4 linked regions of the Oryctolagus cuniculus genome follow. The protein of the gene in region 2 purifies or fractionates together with the protein of the main gene of each other region. This does not show direct contact. Links are inferred from orthologs where the notes say so. Each region holds a gene or a part of one and is shown on either strand. Other genes may lie near its edges.

What was found. Proteins that work in one complex are often made in the same cells at the same time.
Region 1: the proteins of MAX (region 2) and WDR5 purify together in Homo sapiens (affinity purification with mass spectrometry; 4 studies listed by BioGRID and IntAct, with this or other methods). This does not show direct contact. The link is inferred for Oryctolagus cuniculus from reciprocal best matches to the Homo sapiens genes MAX and WDR5.
Region 3: the proteins of MAX (region 2) and MNT purify together in Homo sapiens (affinity purification with mass spectrometry; 7 studies listed by BioGRID and IntAct, with this or other methods). This does not show direct contact. The link is inferred for Oryctolagus cuniculus from reciprocal best matches to the Homo sapiens genes MAX and MNT.
Region 4: the proteins of MAX (region 2) and L3MBTL2 purify together in Homo sapiens (affinity purification with mass spectrometry; 6 studies listed by BioGRID and IntAct, with this or other methods). This does not show direct contact. The link is inferred for Oryctolagus cuniculus from reciprocal best matches to the Homo sapiens genes MAX and L3MBTL2.

Annotation. Positions count from the first base shown.
Region 1 is NC_091432.1:235,830,449-235,834,805, reverse strand, and holds part of WDR5 (WD repeat-containing protein 5), read right to left. Parts: intron 4,016-4,357; 5' UTR 3,929-4,015; coding exon 3,848-3,928; intron 2,545-3,847; coding exon 2,436-2,544; intron 2,310-2,435; coding exon 2,236-2,309; intron 1,138-2,235; coding exon 1,048-1,137; intron 972-1,047; coding exon 882-971; intron 279-881; coding exon 195-278; intron 1-194.
Region 2 is NC_091451.1:11,144,657-11,149,569, forward strand, and holds the start of MAX (protein max), read right to left. Parts: upstream 3,017-4,913; 5' UTR 2,752-3,016; coding exon 2,716-2,751; intron 2,019-2,715; coding exon 1,992-2,018; intron 1-1,991. UniProt on the Homo sapiens protein: Transcription regulator. Forms a sequence-specific DNA-binding protein complex with MYC or MAD which recognizes the core sequence 5'-CAC[GA]TG-3'. The MYC:MAX complex is a transcriptional activator, whereas the MAD:MAX complex is a repressor.
Region 3 is NC_091448.1:47,882,960-47,887,316, forward strand, and holds part of MNT (max-binding protein MNT), read right to left. Parts: intron 1,353-4,357; coding exon 773-1,352; intron 259-772; coding exon 217-258; intron 87-216; coding exon 1-86. UniProt on the Homo sapiens protein: Binds DNA as a heterodimer with MAX and represses transcription. Binds to the canonical E box sequence 5'-CACGTG-3' and, with higher affinity, to 5'-CACGCG-3'.
Region 4 is NC_091442.1:117,288,670-117,293,026, reverse strand, and holds part of L3MBTL2 (lethal(3)malignant brain tumor-like protein 2), read right to left. Parts: intron 3,776-4,357; coding exon 3,642-3,775; intron 1,425-3,641; coding exon 1,301-1,424; intron 606-1,300; coding exon 526-605; intron 1-525. UniProt on the Homo sapiens protein: Putative Polycomb group (PcG) protein. PcG proteins maintain the transcriptionally repressive state of genes, probably via a modification of chromatin, rendering it heritably changed in its expressibility.

The sequences.
Region 1 (4,357 bases), on a different chromosome or scaffold from region 2:
ACTCAGCGTCCACCGCGTGTCCACAGGCCCGGGCCATCCCGGCCACCTCCGACGAGCAAGGCTACCTCCACGCGGAACCCCCTTCCGAGGTCGGCTCCCCACGCGGCCCTGCTCCCCCGAGACTCAGGTCGGGGACGCTGCCCCCGGAAGCCCACGCCCGCAGTGGCCGCGTCCCGGGGGTGGGGGGGACTTACGGCTGACACGGGGTCCGAGTGCGCGGGCAGGGTCTTGAGGCACTTCCCCGTCTTCACGTCCCAAATCCTCACGCTCTCGTCAAACTAGGGCAGGCGGGACAGGACAGTGGCCCACGGCAGGAAGGCAGGGCCCCCTCCGCCACGCCGCGCCCCCACGCACCCCACCCCCACGCAGCGCAGCCCCGCCCCCGCCCCCGCCCCGCACTCACGGAGCTCCGCCCCGCCCCCACGCAGCCCCGCCCCCACGCAGCCCGCCCCGCCCCGCACTCACGGAGCTCCGCCCCGCCCCCGCGCAGCCCCGCCCCGCACTCACGGAGCCCCGCCCCGCCCCCGCGCAGCCCCGCCCCGCACTCACGGAGCCCCGCCCCGCCCCCCCCCCCCGCGCAGCCCGCCCCGCCCCGCACTCACGGAGCCCCGCCCCGCCCCCCCCCCCCGCGCAGCCCGCCCCGCCCCGCACTCACGGAGCCCCGCCCCGCCCCCGCGCAGCCCCGCCCCGCACTCACGGAGCCCCGCCCCGCCCCGCACTCACGGAGCCCCGCCCCGCACTCACGGAGCCCTGCCCCGCCCCCGCGCAGCCCCGCCCCGCACTCACGGAGCCCCGCCCCACCCCGCCCCCCGCGCAGCCCCGCCCCACACTCACGGAGCCCCGCCCCGCCCCGCCCCCGCGCAGCCCCGCCCCGCACTCACGGAGCCCGACACGATGAGGTTGGACTGCGGGTTGAAGTTGCAGCAGAAGACGTAGTTGCTGTGGCCCTTCAAGGTCTTCAGGCACTTGCCCTGCAACAAAGCCCCTCAGACTCCGGCGGGCGGGGCCGGGACCACCCCCAGGGCCCCGCGGGCGCGCGCGGCTCACCGAGCTCACGTCCCAGATCTTCAAGGTCTTATCGTCGGAGGCAGAGACGAGGAGGTTGGAATCTGAGGACCAGGCCACGTCGGATATTCCCTGGGGGAGACCACGGTGAGCTCCGGCAGCGACAGAGCTCGGCCCAGAGCCGACCCCCGAGAGGCCGGGGCGCTGTGACCCCGAGAGGCCGGGGCGCTGTGACCCCGAGAGGCCGGGGCGCTGTGACCCCGAGAGGCCGGGGCGCTGTGACCCCAGAGAGGCCGGGGGCGCTGTGACCCCCCCCCCGAGAGGCCACGGGGCGCTGTGACCCCCGAGAGGCCCGGGCGCTGTGACCCACCCCCCCGAGAGGCCAGGGCGCTGTGACCCCCCCCCCGAGAGGCCCCGGGGCGCTGTGACCCCCGAGAGGCCCAGGCGCTGTGACCCCGAGAGGCCCCGGGGCGCTGTGACCCCCGAGAGGCCCGGGCGCTGTGACCCCCCCCCCGAGAGGCCGGGGCGCTGTGACCCCGAGAGGCCGGGAGCTGTGACCCCGCGAAAGGCCCGGGCGCTGTGACCCCCCCCCCGAGAGGCCACGGGGCGCTGTGACCCCCGAGAGGCCCGGGCGCTGTGACCCACCCCCCCGAGAGGCCGGGGCGCTGTGACCCCCCCCCCGAGAGGCCCAGGCGCTGTGACCCCGAGAGGCCCCGCGGCGCTGTGACCCCCGAGAGGCCCAGGCACTGTGACCCCGAGAGGCCGGGGCGCTGTGACCCCCCCCCCGAGAGGCCCCGGGGCGCTGTGACCCCCGAGAGGCCCCGGGCGCTGTGACCCCGAGAGGCCCCGGGGCGCTGTGACACCCCCCCGAGAGGCCCCGGGGCGCTGTGACCCCCGAGAGGCCCAGGCGCTGTGACCCCGAGAGGCCGGGGCGCTGTGACCCCCCCCCCCGAGAGGCCCCGGGGCGCTGTGACCCCCGAGAGGCCCGGGCACTGTGACCCCGCGAGAGGCCGGGGCGCTGTGACCCCCGAGAGGCCCCGGGTGCTGTGACCCCGCGAGAGGCCCGGGCACTGTGACCCCGGGAGAGGCCGGGGCGCTGTGACCCCCGAGAGGCCCGGGCGCTGTGCCTGCCGGCGGGGGCCAGTGTGGGCACAGGGAGAGCGCGGCGGAACACGCGGGGGGCCCTTCCCCCGCCAGGCCTCCTCCAGCCCCGCTCCCGGGGACACCCACCAGCTTGTGGCCCGAGATGGTCTTCTCAAACTTCCCGTCGTATGCGCCCCAGATTTTAATGAGTTTATCAGCAGCTGAAAGAAAGAGGGAGGCGGGGCTGGGGCTCAGGGAGCATGGTCGCTCGGCCACCCACTGCCTGGGCTTCCCGGACCCCAGCGCGGGGAGATCGCCCCCCCACCCGCCCCGCCCGCGGCACCTACAGGAGCTGGCCAGCCACTCGCCGTTGGGGCTGAATTTCACGGAGGACACGGCTTTCGTGTGGCCGGCCAGGGTGAATTTCAGGGCGTAGTTGGGCTTCACAGGCGTGGGCTGTTGGAGAGAAGGCAGAGGTCCCACTAGCAGAAGCCCCCCCCCCCAGCTAGCAGCCACGTGGACCCCAGCTGAAGGCCGGCGCAGCCCCCCTAGGCCAGGCGCCTGCTGGAGACTCTACCCGGAGCCACCCTGCAACCCGAGGTCACGGTTCCCCCCAGAGGCCCCTCTGATGTGACCACCCCAGCCCCCCCAGCCCCACTGATGCAACACCCCCCACCCCCCCAACCCCCCCAGCCCCTCTGATGTGACCACCCCAGCCCCCCCAGCCCCGCTGACACAACCACCCCCACCCCCCCAGCCCCGCTAACGCAACCACCCCCACCCCCCCAACCCCTCTGATGTGACCACCCCCAACCCCCCCAACCCCTCTGATGTGACCACCCCCAACCCCCCCAGCCCCTCTGATGTGACCACCCCAGACCCCCAGCCCCGCTGACACAACCACCCCCACCCCCCCAGCCCCCCCAGCCCCGCTGACACAACCACCCCCACCCCCCCAACCCCCCCAGCCCCTCTGATGCGACCACCCCCACCTCCCCCACCCCCCCAGCCCCTCTGATGCGACCACCTCCACCCCCAACCCACCCACCCCAACCCCCCCACGTGGCCCTGCCACGTCCCAGGCCCAGCAGCTCCAGCCTGGTTCAGCTTCCCTGGGCTGCACCTGCAGGCCTGGTACCTTCACCAAAGGCCCCCGCATCCCACCGCCCAGACCAGGGCCCCCATCCCACCGCCCAGACCAGGGCCCACATCCCACCGCCCAGACCAGGGCCCGCATCCCACCGCCCAGACCAGGGCCCGCATCCCACCGCCCAGACCAGGGCCCGCATCCCACCGCCCAGACCAGGGCCCGCATCCCACCGCCCAGACCAGGGCCCGCATCCCACCGCCCAGACCAGGGCCCCCATCCCACCGCCCAGACCAGGGCCCGCATCCCACCGCCCAGACCAGGGCCCGCATCCCACCGCCCAGACCAGGGCCCCCATCCCACCGCCCAGACCAGGGCCCGCATCCCACCGCCCAGACCAGGGCCCCCATCCCACCGCCCAGACCAGGGCCCGCATCCCACCGCCCAGACCAGGGCCCGCATCCCCGCCCAGGGCCTGCTGGGGCCGAGGGCCGAGTTCCGCAGACGGGAGCAGGACCGAGCGCCCGTGTTTTGTACGAAGCTGCCGCGGGCGTTCACCAGGACTGCGGTCACTCGGGGAAGGCGGGCGGCGACATCAGCCCGGCCCTGCAGGCCCAGTCCTAACCTCTGCCGCCCCAGGCCGGGAGGGGGGCAGTGCCGTCAGGTCCCCACCTTGCTCTGAGTGGCGGACGAGGAAGGGGTGGGCTGGGCTCTGGCGGCCTCGGTCTCGGGCTTCTTCTCCTCCGTGGCCATGGCGCTGGCGCCCAGCAGGCGGGACCGCAGGGCAGGAGGCTGCGGCTAACCGAGGTCTACAGTGGGCCTGGGCAGCGCAAACCGTATCTAGACGTTAATTCCCAGGAAAAACGGTACAAAAAGAAATCTACTTAGAAATCTCTAGCAGCCGGCTCACTAGGCTAATCCTCTGCCTTGCGGCGCCGGCACACCGGGTTCTAGTCCTGGTCGGGGCGCCGGATTCTGTCCCGGTTGCCCCTCTTCCAGGCCAGCTCTCTGCTGTGGCCCGGGAGTGCAGTGGAGGATGGCCCAAGTGCTTGGGCCCTGCACCCCATGGGAGACCAGGAGAAGTACCTGGCTCCTGCCTTTGGATCAGCACAGTGCGCTGGCCGCAGCGGCCATTGGAGGGTGAACCAACGGCAAAAGGAAGACCTTTCTCTCTGTCTCTCT
Region 2 (4,913 bases):
ACAAACAGTTTTCCCCATAATTTTTTGCCAATATTTTTATTTATACTAAATCTCAGCAAACAGATGCATTCACAGAGGAAACAAAAAACCCCTTTTCACCCTGCACACGCGCAGGTGGTCTGGGCCGTCGGAAGATGCATTTGCTTTCTGTCTCCATGCTGCTCGTGATCTTCTGCCTCACATTTAAAAATCCAACAAGCAGATGTGTCAAGTTCATACCACAGGGTCAAAACTGCTTCCCTTGCCTTCTCCCCAAAATCAACGGGGGGGAAGTAGGCACCTTAACAGCAAACTGAAAACATCTGGACAAAACAATGAGAGTCGCCCTCTAGGAGAGGAACTACTCTAATAATCTAATCAACAAATTTACATGAATCCACGGGGATGAACATTTGGAAAAGCAGGAAGCTTCCAAAAACCGTGAGCCAAAATTTCATGCACAAAAGAACCTTCCTCTCACCGGGAAGCCATCGGAATGCAAATGCACAGGGCGGATTCTGCAGCGACTGACACCTGACTGACCAACCCCGGTCCAGCCCTGAGCCAGAGGTCGGCAAACAATGCTGCAGGCACACTGGGCTCCGCTGCCACATTAGTGAGGACAACAGCAACGGGAAGAGGGAATTCAATTTTCACATCCATGGGTGAATACGAGTGTGCATCATGACTTCAAAGAGAAATAAAGCACAGCAAATATTCACGACTGCTGGCCAGGAGCAAGTGCACGCTGGGAGTTCAGTGGAAACATCAGCTCTCAGGCCAGCTTTCCTAATGGTCTCTCTTGGACAACCCGTGCCACCTTGGCGTGCTCTGATGACGCACAGGGACAATGCAGAGAGCTTGCCTTTGTGGTTACTAAATTCCTACACCAGGGGTCTACCGCGGCATCCTGCAAACTCTACCAAGCCTGCACACAGCTGGTCCACACATTCTTTTGAAAATCACAAAAGTCATATACAAGTTGTGGATTTCCACTATTTCCTTCACAACAGGAAGATCTGGCAACAGCGGGTGCTCCTCCCACATACCCACCCACTGGGGCGGAGGAGCGCCTGCCTCTTTGGGAGGCCTGTGTCCCCCAGGAGCCCAGGCCCCACCTCTTCCCTCCCCTGGACTCTCAGCTCCCCACTGCCTGGGGCACCCCACAGCTCCCGGCTCCTAGCTGACGACCAGCACAGCCTCTGCCACGCTTCGCTCTTCTTGCCCGCTCCAGTGCGGATTTACTCCGCATCTCTCCTCTGCTTTCTCTGATCTAGCCACACACGCCCGCAGCACGGCTCCAAAGACAAGAGCTCCGAGTGGGAGTGCACAGGAGCACGCCCGAGCACACTGGCATCAGAACGTGGGAGCCACCGCGAGAACACCGGTGACCGCCTCCATCACCTTTCCCCAGCGCTGTCTTCAGCCGCTCTCACCATTCTCTATCCCCCTCTCCTTCAACTGGGACAGGGGCCGCCCACAAGGAGCCGCAGGTCAGGCTGGTGCCACGGCCCGCCCGCCCGCCCCGGCTGGTCTGCCGTTGGTGCTACAACACCTCGGCCTGCCAGCCCCATGACTCCCGGTTAGGGGCCATTACTGCATGTGGCTTCAGCCGGACCCAGCTATGTGGCTAGGGTTCAACACCGCCTGCTGCCTAACTCAGCCTCCCAGCTCCTTGGCCCTGGAGCGACGCCAGCCACTATCTGCCTCCAAAGGCTGTCCTCATTCCCCACTCGCACGGCAGGAGCTGCAAGCCCGTGTGGAAACTACAGGCCATTCCACGTCTTGGCTTCACTCAGCACTCAGTCACCTGAGAATCTGGAATTATGGGATTCGCAGCTCTCCCTCCCCACCCCCCGGCACCCCGGATTCAGGCCCCACCTCACCTTAGCGGGCAACAGGAGGGTTTACTACATTATTAAAAGTATTAGAACAATCTCTGGTTCTCTCTGACCCCAGAAAGGACTAGAACTGAACGGAAATGAAAACGAAATGGAGAGTAGGAGACGTACCGCAGATTGAAACCTCGGTTGCTCTTCCTGGAATAAGAGAGAAAAAAAAAATAGAAAATATAGAAGTTATTTTTACACTTCACACTCAATAATAAGAAAGAAAATGCCGGCGGCGGAGGAAGCGGCGGGTGGGGGGGGGGGAGTCAGCCCTTCACCCCTCCCTCCCCGCCCCACGCCCCCACCCTCCCCCAGCGGGATCCAGTAGCCGGGCAGGGGGTCCCGAGCGCCGCCCCTCTTTCCGGGATCCGACCCGGGCCAGAGGGGTTCCCGAGCACCGTCTCCTCCCCTCGGACCCAGCTCGGGCCGCCGGGACACTCCCAACCCCTCTCCGCTCTGCCGCACCCCCCGCACCCCCCAGGATCCGCGGGTCCCGGGAGGAGGGGATCGCCGACCCCAGGATCCGGACAATGAGATCCCGGTCGCACCCCAGCCCTGTCCCACGGAGCCTCAGCTGGCTAGGGTGGCGGCAGGAGAACGGGCCGGGGGTCCCAGAGGCCGCGTGTCCTCTCCCCCACCTCCAGCCCGGCAGCCCCGAGGGGAGCGAGCCGGGAGCGCGACCGAGGCGGTCCCGGCCGGGGAGGGGAAAGGGGGGGAGGAGGAGGAGGAGGAGGAGGAGGAGGCGGCGGCTGCGGCCCGGCCCCCTCCCGCCGTCGCCCCGCTGAGAGCCCTGGCCGCTGTCCCCGCCTGACAACCCGCACGGGAAGGAAGAAGCCCCGGGACTCACGTCGCTCTCCACCTCGATGTCATCGTTATCGCTCATTTCCTACGGCCCAGGGAGCGGCCACTGCAGCGGCGGCGGCGGGAAGGGGGAAGGGTGGAGGGGAGGGGGAAGTCACCGACAACAAGCAGCCAAGTGCCCCCACACACACACTCACTCACTCACTCACTCGCTCTCTCACTCACTCACACACACACACCCCCACACACGCACACACACACAACACGGGCGAGAACCACCTCCTCACTGCAGCACCGGATCAACGGCGGCACGCACGCCCGGTCGGCCCCCTGCCACGTGATCGGACTCGGCACGCTGGGGCAGCCGAGTCTTGTAGTTCTCGTCCTTGGGACTGACGGCCCGGCGAGAGCCCAAAGAACTACAAATCCCAGGAAGCACTGCAGCCCGTCGACGCCAGGCCGGCTTGCGGACGGAGCTCAGGGCGCCTGCGTGTCCCGCGGAGGAGGGCGGAGAGAGAGGCGGCGCGGCGCCTTCTGGGAGACGTAGTCCGCAGACCGCGAGTTGTCAGGAGGTTTTCCTCCCGAGGCGGCAGAGGAGGCTGCTGGGAAGACAGGACACGTGGAGGGAGCTGGGGCTCCGGAGCCGGGCACCGTCTGCGCTCTGGGCGCCGGGCCCGGGGGACAGGGTGGAGGCCCTGGGGGAAAAGCCGGCCGCATAAATAGCGCTGCCTCTCTTTGGTGCAATTGGTTTTACTTTGTCTCCTGGATGCTGGAGTCGCGCCGCTTTGCGCCCTGGGGCGTAACCTGCCGCGGCAGACCAGGGGGCGCAGCTCTGGCTGCCCACGCGGACCCTCGGGAACCGTGGAGGTGGTGATGGCAGGTGTGGGGTGGTGTGACGGCACGGGCACCGCGACCGCCCTCGCCGAGGGACCTCTCCTAGCCGCAGAGGCTTGCGTCCCTTTAGCGGGCAGTGTCGGTCCGCACGGCGCACGTGAGGCTCCCAGGACCACGGAGCCCACCCCCGGCAGCCGGGGTACCTGGAAGTGAAAGCGCCTTCCGGGTCCGGCGTAGCTCGGGCGGTCTGCAGAGTGCCCCGGCCCGGAGCACCGCGGCTAAAAATTGCAGACTGGAAGACTGGCGCAGCTGCCTCTCCGTTTGAAATCATTTTTACAGATCTGCTTCTCCAGTGTTCACTGGCACCTAACAGGTGCCGAAGGGGATGCCATCATGTCCCCTGCATTCATGCAACTCCCAGCTGGCAAGCAGAAGTCCACGCTGCGCGGCTGCCATTTCAGAGTGCACACAGGAAGGAAAAACAAAACAGCAACAAAGACATTTTCCGCCCTTATGTCCGATCTCCAAAATAAGCGAAATCTTGGACTTTTCCCCTGACTTCCGGCTGTCCACATGAGGAACCATTTTACCCCTGACTTTTGAAAGCAGGAATCTGGAGACGGGACACACAACCTTTGTGGCATCCATGCTGAAGACATTGGATGTAGATGTGCATGAACGCCCCTTTCCATTCTGTCCCTCTAAATAGTTCTCACTGCTGGTGAAGCCTGCACATCTTTTTTTTTTTTCCTTTTTTTTTAAGATTTATTTTTCTTTATTTGAGAGGCAGAGTTACAGAGAGGCCGCCACAAAACACCAAACACCGGAGTAAGGCAAAGGGTTTATTGGTGGGGTAAACCCCACAGACCGGAGGGAAAGGGAAAAGAATGAAAAGAGAGAGAACAAAAGACAGTGAGAAAGAGCCACGTGTTCAGGAACAGGCTGGGGGGAAGGCGGTGGGCAGGGAAGTAGGAGCAACAAATCCTGTTAGGATGGGGGTGGAGCTGACACCGATGGTTGGGCCACAGGGTCACCTGGCTTCCAGCAATGGCGTGGAGGGCTAGAGCCTAGAATTGTGTCCGGGGTATAGGTCGGGCCGTAGATAAGACTGCCGCCATTTTACTAATAGGGAGAGACAGAGTGAGAGGTCTTCCATCCACTGGTTCACTCCCAAAATGATCGCAATGGCAGAGCTAAGCTGATCAGACACCAGCAGCCGGGAGCTGCTTCTGGTCTCCAAGGTGGGAGCAGGGGCCCAAACACTTGGGCCATCTTCCAATGCCTTCCCAGGCTATCAGCAGGGAGTTGGATTGGAGGTGGAGCATCTGGGACCCGAACCGGCACCCATATGGGACGCTGGCTCCGCTGGCTAAGCCAACTCTGCCAAAGAGCTGGGTCCCAAAGTCTGCA
Region 3 (4,357 bases), on a different chromosome or scaffold from region 2:
GCACGCTCAGATTCGACGTCTTCTTGTCGTCCACGTTGGGGATGTTACGCTTCAGGGTCTCAAAGCATTCCTTCAGATGGGCCCTCCTGGGGAGAGGGAGCCAGGGGGTCAGCCAGCGCCGAGGGGCCTGGAGAGGCCTGGGCTGGGGCGCGCACAGAGGGCAAGCCTGAGGGGACCAGGAGCGGGCGGGGCACACACGCACGCGCGTACACACACCTGTTCTTCTCCAGTTTGTTGTGGACTTCTCTGGTTCCGATCCTGAAACCCAGGCAGACAGGAGGATCAGGGAGGAGGACGCATTAGGCGGCCTTCCGGACCTCCACCCCACCCCTACCCCGCCGCCAACCCCCATGAGCGGCAGGCATTTTGTCCCCAACATTCTCTCTGTAGAAGCAGAGGTGGCAGATGTTGGCATCCTCCACCCCCGGAAGGCGCATCTTTGCTCAGAATCCCCAACCCTTGGAACCCTCCATCCCACGCACCCAACCACAAGGCCACAGGAGGGCTCCTGGGCCTCAGAGAAGCTGCCAGTGACCCCAGTCCTTATCCAAAGGGCCCACAATCCAATACTCGGTCTAAAGGCTTGGAAATGTCATAAACCAACCCCAGCGTGGCAGGGGTCAGAGGACATCGGCAGTTGACTCCCAGCTAGAGACACAGTGAGAAGGCGGCGGGCAGGTGGGGCTGGCCTCCGGATGGCTAGCGTGGCAGGGCCCCTTCTCTTGCGCGCTCCTCTCCAGCCCCCCAGCCCTGACTGCCACCCCTCACTCACCCCCCGGGCCTCTTCTTCTGTTCGCTGGATTTGACTTCTTCAGCTGGTGCCAGCTTCAGGGTCCCGAGGGTGGTTGGGGGTGGCTGCTGGGGGGCCAGCTGAGGCTGGACGCCAGGGTGTGGTGCTATGGTCAGGATGGGTGTGGGGAGGGGCTGCAGAGGTTTGGGACTGCCGGTGGGTGGGACTGTGGTCTTTGAGTCAGGCAGCAGGGGTGTGGGGGTGGGCACCTGTGGCCTGGTGGGCAAGGGTGCTGGCTCCTTAATGCTGAGTCCAGGGGTGCCCACCAGGGCTGGCTGGCGAGGCGCCAGGGGCAGAGGCTGGGCTGGGGGTGGCAGTGGTGGGGGTGGGGGCAGCGCCTGAGGGGAGTTGGTCACTACAGGAATAGGAATGACAGTGAGTGGGGTGGGAGTGGCCAGTGGAGGAGGGGGTGCCGGCGGAGGTGCTGGGGGCGACAGAGGCAGTGGTGGCGCCTCCACGCGGGGCTCCTCCAGAGGCAGGGCATGGGCCAGCCTGGTCAGGCTACTGGTTTTCTTCTGCTCCTGCTCTCGTTCCCGCTCCAAGCGAAGCCGCTCCTGCTCCTCTATGCAGAGAACACGGGGAGGAGGGGGTGTCTCAGCAGGGCCAGTGGACCTGGGCCCCAGCCTCACCTGTCCTCTGGCCCTAAGCCATCCTTGGACCCGCCCAGACAGCTCTCAGTGACCCCTGTGCCTGCCCCTGGGGGCTCACAGTCCGGGGCAGGGGCAGGAGGACGCACAATGACAGAACCACTCAGCGGGGCAAGGACCGAGTGGCCGCAAGGCCGAGCAGGGCCTGCCAGAGACCTGCAGCAGGCAGGGCAGCCTGGAGGTGCAGGGGTGAGCAGGGAAGAGTCGGAAGCAACAGGGCTGCGGAGACCAGAGACAGCTGAGGAAGCTGCGGAGCTGGGCAGAGATGGGCGCACAAAAGACTTCGGTAACCACAGGACAATGGAGGCTTCTTTGGAAGCCAGTATCTGCTGGAGGGCAGGCGGGGCCTTCGTCTCACAGACAGAAGCAGTGAAACCCAGAGAGGCACAGTGACCCGTTGAAGGTCACACAGCAAATCTCCTGACGCTGTAGCGGATGCCCTGTCCTTGCTGGGTCAACACCTCCTCACTAGGAGTCTTCTCACATCCATTCCCTTCTGCCTGGGTGCTCGCAAGAGCCCACATCACAGGCACGCACTGCCCACTCCCAGGCTAGGGTTCAAGGCCTGCTTTCTTCAGCGAATCGCTCAAAACACACACACACTTGGCTCCCGCCTGCCCCTTCTCATGCTAGAACTCATTTCTCTCCAGCCCCTGCCTCCTGTGCCCACCATTTCCAGTGCAGACTGGAGAAAGAGGTGGACAGAAGCTGGGCTTTTTCCTGGGGATCAGACAGGGCAAGAGCAGGCAGCTGCACCCTGCGTGCCCCTGGTCTGTAGCCCCCAGGCCAGCCCTCACCCTCTGCTGACTAACAGGCCGGGAGACACACCCCAAACAGGTGGGAGCGCATCACTGCCCCCCCACAAGTCTGACTGGCTCAGAGGCCCCAGCAGACCTGAGTCCTTGGGGCCCTCTGGCCAATCAACAACTTGAGAGTGAGCCAACCCTGCTCCCAGCCCCTCCCTGCTGCAAAGGAGAAGAGGCAAAGGAGGAAGTGGAGGGGGAAGGTCCGGAGGGGGGGCGCTCGGCGGTTTCCAGCAGTCCAGGGGCTGGCCAGTCAGGAGGCCTCTTCCGTGTCCCCCCTGGCCTGCAGGAAGGAGAAATGCCGGGCCTCCTCCCTCCCTGCCCCCGGCACAGGCATGCTGACAGCCACACAGAAAACCAGCTCTCTGCACTCCAGCTCCCCACAAACCACAATGGCACAGAAGCCAGCTGAGTTCCAGCTACAAAGCCCTTCTCAGGCCCAGCTGGGACACCCTGTCTGCTCTCCCACCCTGCTCTCCCCCTGCCCCCCAGGTGAGGTCCTCAAACTCAGAGCCCCACACAGCCCCCATCTCCATTCCTTTGACTGACTTAAGACCCAAACTTTCATTAGCCTTGGGGCCACTGCTCCACCATACACAGGCAGAGGACAGACAGGGCCCCACGTCCCAAGCACAGGTGCTCTGAGAACCCAGACTGAAGTCAAACCCCATATTCTCATATTTTATTTTTAAAAATTTATTTCTGCTTTACTTGAAAGGCAGAAAGAGACAAAGGGAGATCTTCCAACCACTGTTTCACTGCCTCCCAAAAGGCCCACAGCAGCCAGAGCAGGGCCAGGATGTAGCCAGAAGTCAGGAACTCTATCCGGGTCTCCCACACAGGTGGTAGGGTCCAAGCAGCTGGACCACCATCTGCTGCCTCTGGGTACACATTAGCAGGAATGGTGGACTGGAAGTGGAGCCAGGACTTGAACCAGGCACTCCAATGTGGGATGCAGGTGACCCAAGCAGTGCCATAACCACTGAGCCACGGGCTCAACTCCAAGGCTCACCTAGGAAATGGCCACTTGCTCCTCACCTAGCCTCTCTCTTGCAGAGTCAGGCAGGTATACCTCACAGGTGCCGGGGAGGAAGAGCGCCGTGGGACCTCGGCCAGCACGGCACAGCTTGCCTGCTGCTGAAGAAGGGGCATCTCAGGCCGATCTAGTCCATCCAAGATCTCTGCCCCCTCCCCTGCTCTGATTCCTTCCTGGGCCAGTGCCTAAGAGGGGAAGCGAACTGGCAATAGCCAGGGCCGCCCTCAGGAGCAACCTGTGTTCAGGCACTTTCAAAAAGCACCCTGCTGCGTTCACAGTGCACACCCTGTCTCACATTCCCGCACCTTCCCTGGGTTTCCCCAGAGGCTGCCCCCAGAGAACTTATCAGTGATCCAGGGACCAAGGCTCCAGTCCCCAGTCAACAGCACAGACACTGTGCCCCCTGTGGTCCGGGGTCTCAGCAGCAAAGGGCTGGCCTTGAATCTGCACAGGACTGCTCCCCTTCTGTATGCCAGCTAACAGGGAGCCGGGCACAGCAGGCAGGACCAGGGTGAGGCCAGCAGCAGCGTGTGTCAGGAGGGTTTGCACACTGCAGCCAACCCCTCCCATCCAGGTAGGAGGCAGTCCCATCCAAGTCAGTTCCATGGATGCTAGGAATGGCCAAGCCAGGTCTTCCTGATGAGCACCAGAATCAATGGTTTTATGCTTCTCTCTCTCTCAATCTCAGGTTCACCAAGTGCACAAGCCGTGTGATCTAGGTCAGGACACCCACCCTTGAGCCCGAAAGGGGGAAAGGACAAGGGGATCAGTTCAGCCAGCATGTTCACGTGCCACCCCCTTCTCTCCCTCTCTTCCTGTCCCAAGTCAGAGGACAGAGCCTCAGGTCGGAAAAGAAAATAAATTCTGGAGATTAAACTGTTGGGAGTGGGTCTGGTATGGGAGACCCAGCTCTCCAGCACCCCCCCATCCCCTAAGGCCCCTTGATCTGAGACACTGTGACAGGGCAGAGCTTTGCAAACTCCTTAAGAGAAAAGCTTTGCTGGGGTTCCTGGCAGTGTTGCACATGGCAGTCCCTTCCACCTTCCTGGTCAGCTCTGGCCTCACTTATTAGGGAAAAGGC
Region 4 (4,357 bases), on a different chromosome or scaffold from region 2:
GGGGCTAGAAGCCCTCAATAGGTGTTTGGGGAAGGGGGTTAACAATTTGAAAGACAGAGTTACAGAGAGAGGGAGTGACAGACCTTCCATCAGCTGGTTCACTCCCTAAATGGCCCCTAACAGCCAGGGCTGGGCCAAGTTGAAGACAGGAGCCAGACTCCATCCAGGTCTCCCATTTGGGTGGCAGGGGTCCAGGGAGTTGGGCCATCTTCCGCTGCTTTCACAGGCACATTAGCAGGGAACTGGGCTGGAAGTGGAGCAGCCGGGACTTGAACCTGTACTCATAGGGTTGCCAGGGTGCAGATGGCTTAACCCGCTGTGCCGCAGCGCAGCTCCGGGAGTTTTGAGGAGCAGCAGACTCAGAGCATGGAGCCGGCTGACAGGGCTGAGCTCCTTCCACCTGGCGCGCACTGCAGCTCTGCGGCACCGCACCAGCCTGGCACCGTCCTTGGGAAGCGGTGTGCACACCAAGGCCAGCGCCTCCGCTGTGTGCCCTGCCCTCCCTCTGCAACCCGGGGCACTCACGTGTTTGAAGCAGCTGACAGGAGCAGCTTTGTAACTGTGATCCTTCAGGAACTTGCCCCAGTCGAAGCCCAGGACCAGAGCTGTGGAGCAGAGAGGAGATTGGCGCCTGGAAGCCCGGTGGCAGCGCTGTGGTCACTGCACTGAGGGCCGGCGGGCTCAGCAGCAGTCGCTCTTCCGCAGCAGTCCCAGTGCGCCCAGACCTGTCCCACCAGTGGCCACCAGGGGGTGCAGGCAAATCTAGACGCCGCCAATCCTCGGTAGAGGAGCACTTACAAAGGAGTATCTCTCCCTTCTTATCCCAAGGAAAGGGAAATGCCAGTGTCCCTGGGTTCAAATTCCTCACACCCCTCAGCCTCTCCTTGGCCACATCCAACCCAACAGGGTGGAGCAGCACAGAGTGAGGCCCAGACCTGCTGGCGGGGAGGCCAACTTGGCAGAGCTGCGAGGGCCTACACTTAGTTTGCTACACACACACACAGAGAAGGTTCCTTTTGTTATCCTAACCCCGGACTGCCGCCCCTTCAAACCAGACTTGGGCCTCCACTGCCCCAGAGATAAGAGAAACAAAAGAAGCTAATTCCTGACTTCTGAGGGGTGAGCCAGGAGCTTTTAGGAGGTAACTTCCAGGACAGCCCACAGGAAAGGGTGACGGGCAGCGAGCCTGGGCCAGGGGCTTTCCAGTGGTCCAGCTTTCCCAGCCCCCACTCCCAGGGAGGGCCAGCCGGGTCCCGGCCACCACCGCAGCCACTTTCAGAACCTGTCCCTGCTGTCTTACCGTCTTGCCCTGTGGGCGTCCCATCGGCCAGCTGTCCAGTGCCCTGGGAGTGCAGGAAGGCTCCGATTTTAGCAGACCAGGCCGCCTTGTGCAGCACTTTGGCTTTCTTGGTTGGTGGTTTCCCCTGGAGGGAAAAGAGAGGCCGTGAGGTGGCGGCTAAGGATCTGGATCGGCACTGTCAGGATCCGCCTGGTCTTGTTCAGTTACTTATCCTCTTCTGGCTTGAGTTTGTAAAACACAGCGTGGACAAGGCCTAGCTCAGAGGGTGATGGTGGTGGTGGGTAGTCAGCGGAGCAGGGGCCTCTCCCTACAGCTTTAGCTCTGTCAGCTCCTTACTCTGGTGCTGCTACTGAGCCACGCAGAGAATAGGCTGGGCGGGGGTGAGGTGGGGGAGGGTGGCACCACGAAGTCTCTGCTCCACGAGGCAGCATTCCGTACACAGGTAATTGTGCTCCACGGAGGCTCCCGTGCTGTCCTCAGGTACTCAGAGGAGGTCACCCCCAAAGGGAAAGGCCAGGGCCCTGGTGCATACTTTGTAACTTACGCACTGATCAGAAAAGCCAGGAATTTACCACAGATCAGTGAGGCAGAAATGGAGGATGACATCCCACACAGACTGGGGGCCAACCCCGGTTCTGAAGCTTTCTATATCTTTTACTCAAATGCTTAAACTCTTAAAACAGGAATTTGTGTAAAGTCAATTTTTTAGGATCGTTGTTTAGACTGGGAATGCCAAGCCCTCAACAGGTGTCCCCCGATGTCACTATTACCAAGTAACATCACGAGCTCTCTTTCATGCGTTGCATAAAACCCACAAAACGAGGGAAGCAAAGGCAGTGCAGTGAGTGAGGCACCGGCCGGAGCCAGCTCAGGGCACTGCCACCAGCATCACGGTGGCAGGCAGAGTCACCGGCGAGCTCTTTAAATCCCCAAGCCAAGATCACACTCCTTCCCTGTTAAGCCAGTCTTTGGGTATAGGACCCAAATATCTTTTTTTTTTCTTTTTTTTTTTTTTTTTTGACAAGTAGAGTGGACAGTGAGAGAGAGACAGAGAGAAAGGTCTTCCTTTTGCTGTTGGTTCACCCTCCAATGGCCGCCGCGGCTGGCACGCTGCGGCCAGTGCACCGCGCTAATCCGAAGGCAGGAGCCAGGTACTTCTCCTGGTCTCCCATGGGGTGCAGGGCCCAAGCACTTGGGCCATCCTCCACTGCACTCCCTGGCCACAGCAGAGAGCTGGCCGGGAAGAGGGGCAACCAGGACAGAATCCGGCGCCCCGACCGGGACTAGAACCCGGTGTGCTGGCGCTGCTAGGTGGAGGATTAGCCTAGTGAGCTGCGGCACCGGCCCCAAATATCATATTTTTAAAACTTTCTAGAGGCTGGCACTATGGTGCAGCAGGTTAATGCTCCGGCCTGCAGCGCAGGCATCCTATATGGACGCCAGTTCAAGACCTGGCTGCTCCCTGCTAATGCGCCTTGGGAAAGCAGCAGAGATGGCCCAAGTGCGTGGGCCCCTGCACCCACGTGGGAGACCTGGAAGAAACTCCTGGCTCCTAATTGGCCCAGCTCTGGCCATTGAGGCCATTTGAAGAGTGAACCAGTGAATGGAAGACTCTCTCTGTCTCTACCTCTCTGTGTAACTCTTCCAAATAAACAAATCTTTAAAAAAAAAAAAAAACCAAAACTTTCCGGATGTTCCGAATGCACAGTCTCCTTTGAGGCACGTGTGCACGTTGGGAAACACCCACGGCCGGCAGCTGAGCGTAGGCTGCAGCCCAGATCCCAGTGCTCTCCCTCCACAGAGCTGCCCTGGGTCAGTCGTTCCACCTCCCTGCACTCGGCACACTGCATCATCTTGTGGGTCTGACAACAGGTGCCTAAGACAAGTGTTTCCATCCCTAAACTTCTATAAATGTCAAGAGCTTGGCAAGACTTCCCAGGTGGCCACCCATGAGACACAGTCAGCGACAAGGCATCGGCTTCCTGATGCCGCTGTGGCTGCTGAACCTTGCGCCTGTATCCCAGCTTCCCTTCAAGGCATTTATAAAAGCGTGCAGAGAAGAGCAGGGCTTCCAGCTCTGATCAGAACCTCCAGGACTCTCACTTAAATTTATTGAATATGAGCGACTCTTGGGGGTGGAAGGATAACAGCAAGCTCTTAATGAACAAGCTCCATAAACTGACTCCTCTGCCTACTGAGGTTTGAGAGCACAGCAAATTCTCAGAAGAAATGTCCAACCTCAGACGGCCAAAACAGGGAGCTTCCCAGGTCCTCTGGGCCTCCAGTCAGCTGGTCCTCTTTTAGCACCCAGGGCCCTGGGGGCCGAGCGGCTGCCTCTCACCTGTAATCTAGCCAAGATGCTGGCTTTCTTGGAGTTGGAGGAATAGCTCCTGGAGCAGGAGACGCTGCAGAACCTCTTGGTCTTGGAGAAGAAGGCTTCCCTTGTGCCCACGATACCGCACATCTCACAGACAGCTGGGAAGAGAACTTAGCACATGACTCACCTGGTACGGTCGCCCCAAATCAAACCCAATGAGGCCTTCAATACCTGGGACATTGCACTAACCAGGTGAGTGCCAGCCCTCACTAAGGCTGACACAAGAGGAGGAGGAGGAGGTGGTGGAGGAGGAGGAGGCGGAGGCCACACTGAACACATCTGAACGGACCTCACCTAAGCGAGGCTGCCCGGCCTCCCTGGGCTGTGTGTGTAACAGCGGGGCTAAGGGAACTTCAGAAAGACAACTGGGGAAACAGGTCAGTGAGGAAGTTTTCAAGACAGAGAAGTCAAAGAGAAAAACATGTATTAGGTAGAAGTGCCCAAGTCGCTCAATCCTTGTGGCTCCATTATCTCATGGATACAGTAAAGAGACTGAGCTGGGTCAGCGTTTCAACCCTGACTTCACATTACAGACACCTGGGGAGCTTAAACGCTTGCCCACGCCAGGCATTCTACGGAACTGGTCTGCACCGGGGCACCGCCATCTGCAGTGTGTCGGGCATCCCCTGTGGGATTCCAATGTGCAGCCAGGGCCACAACTGGTCTCTACTGGTCGCTTC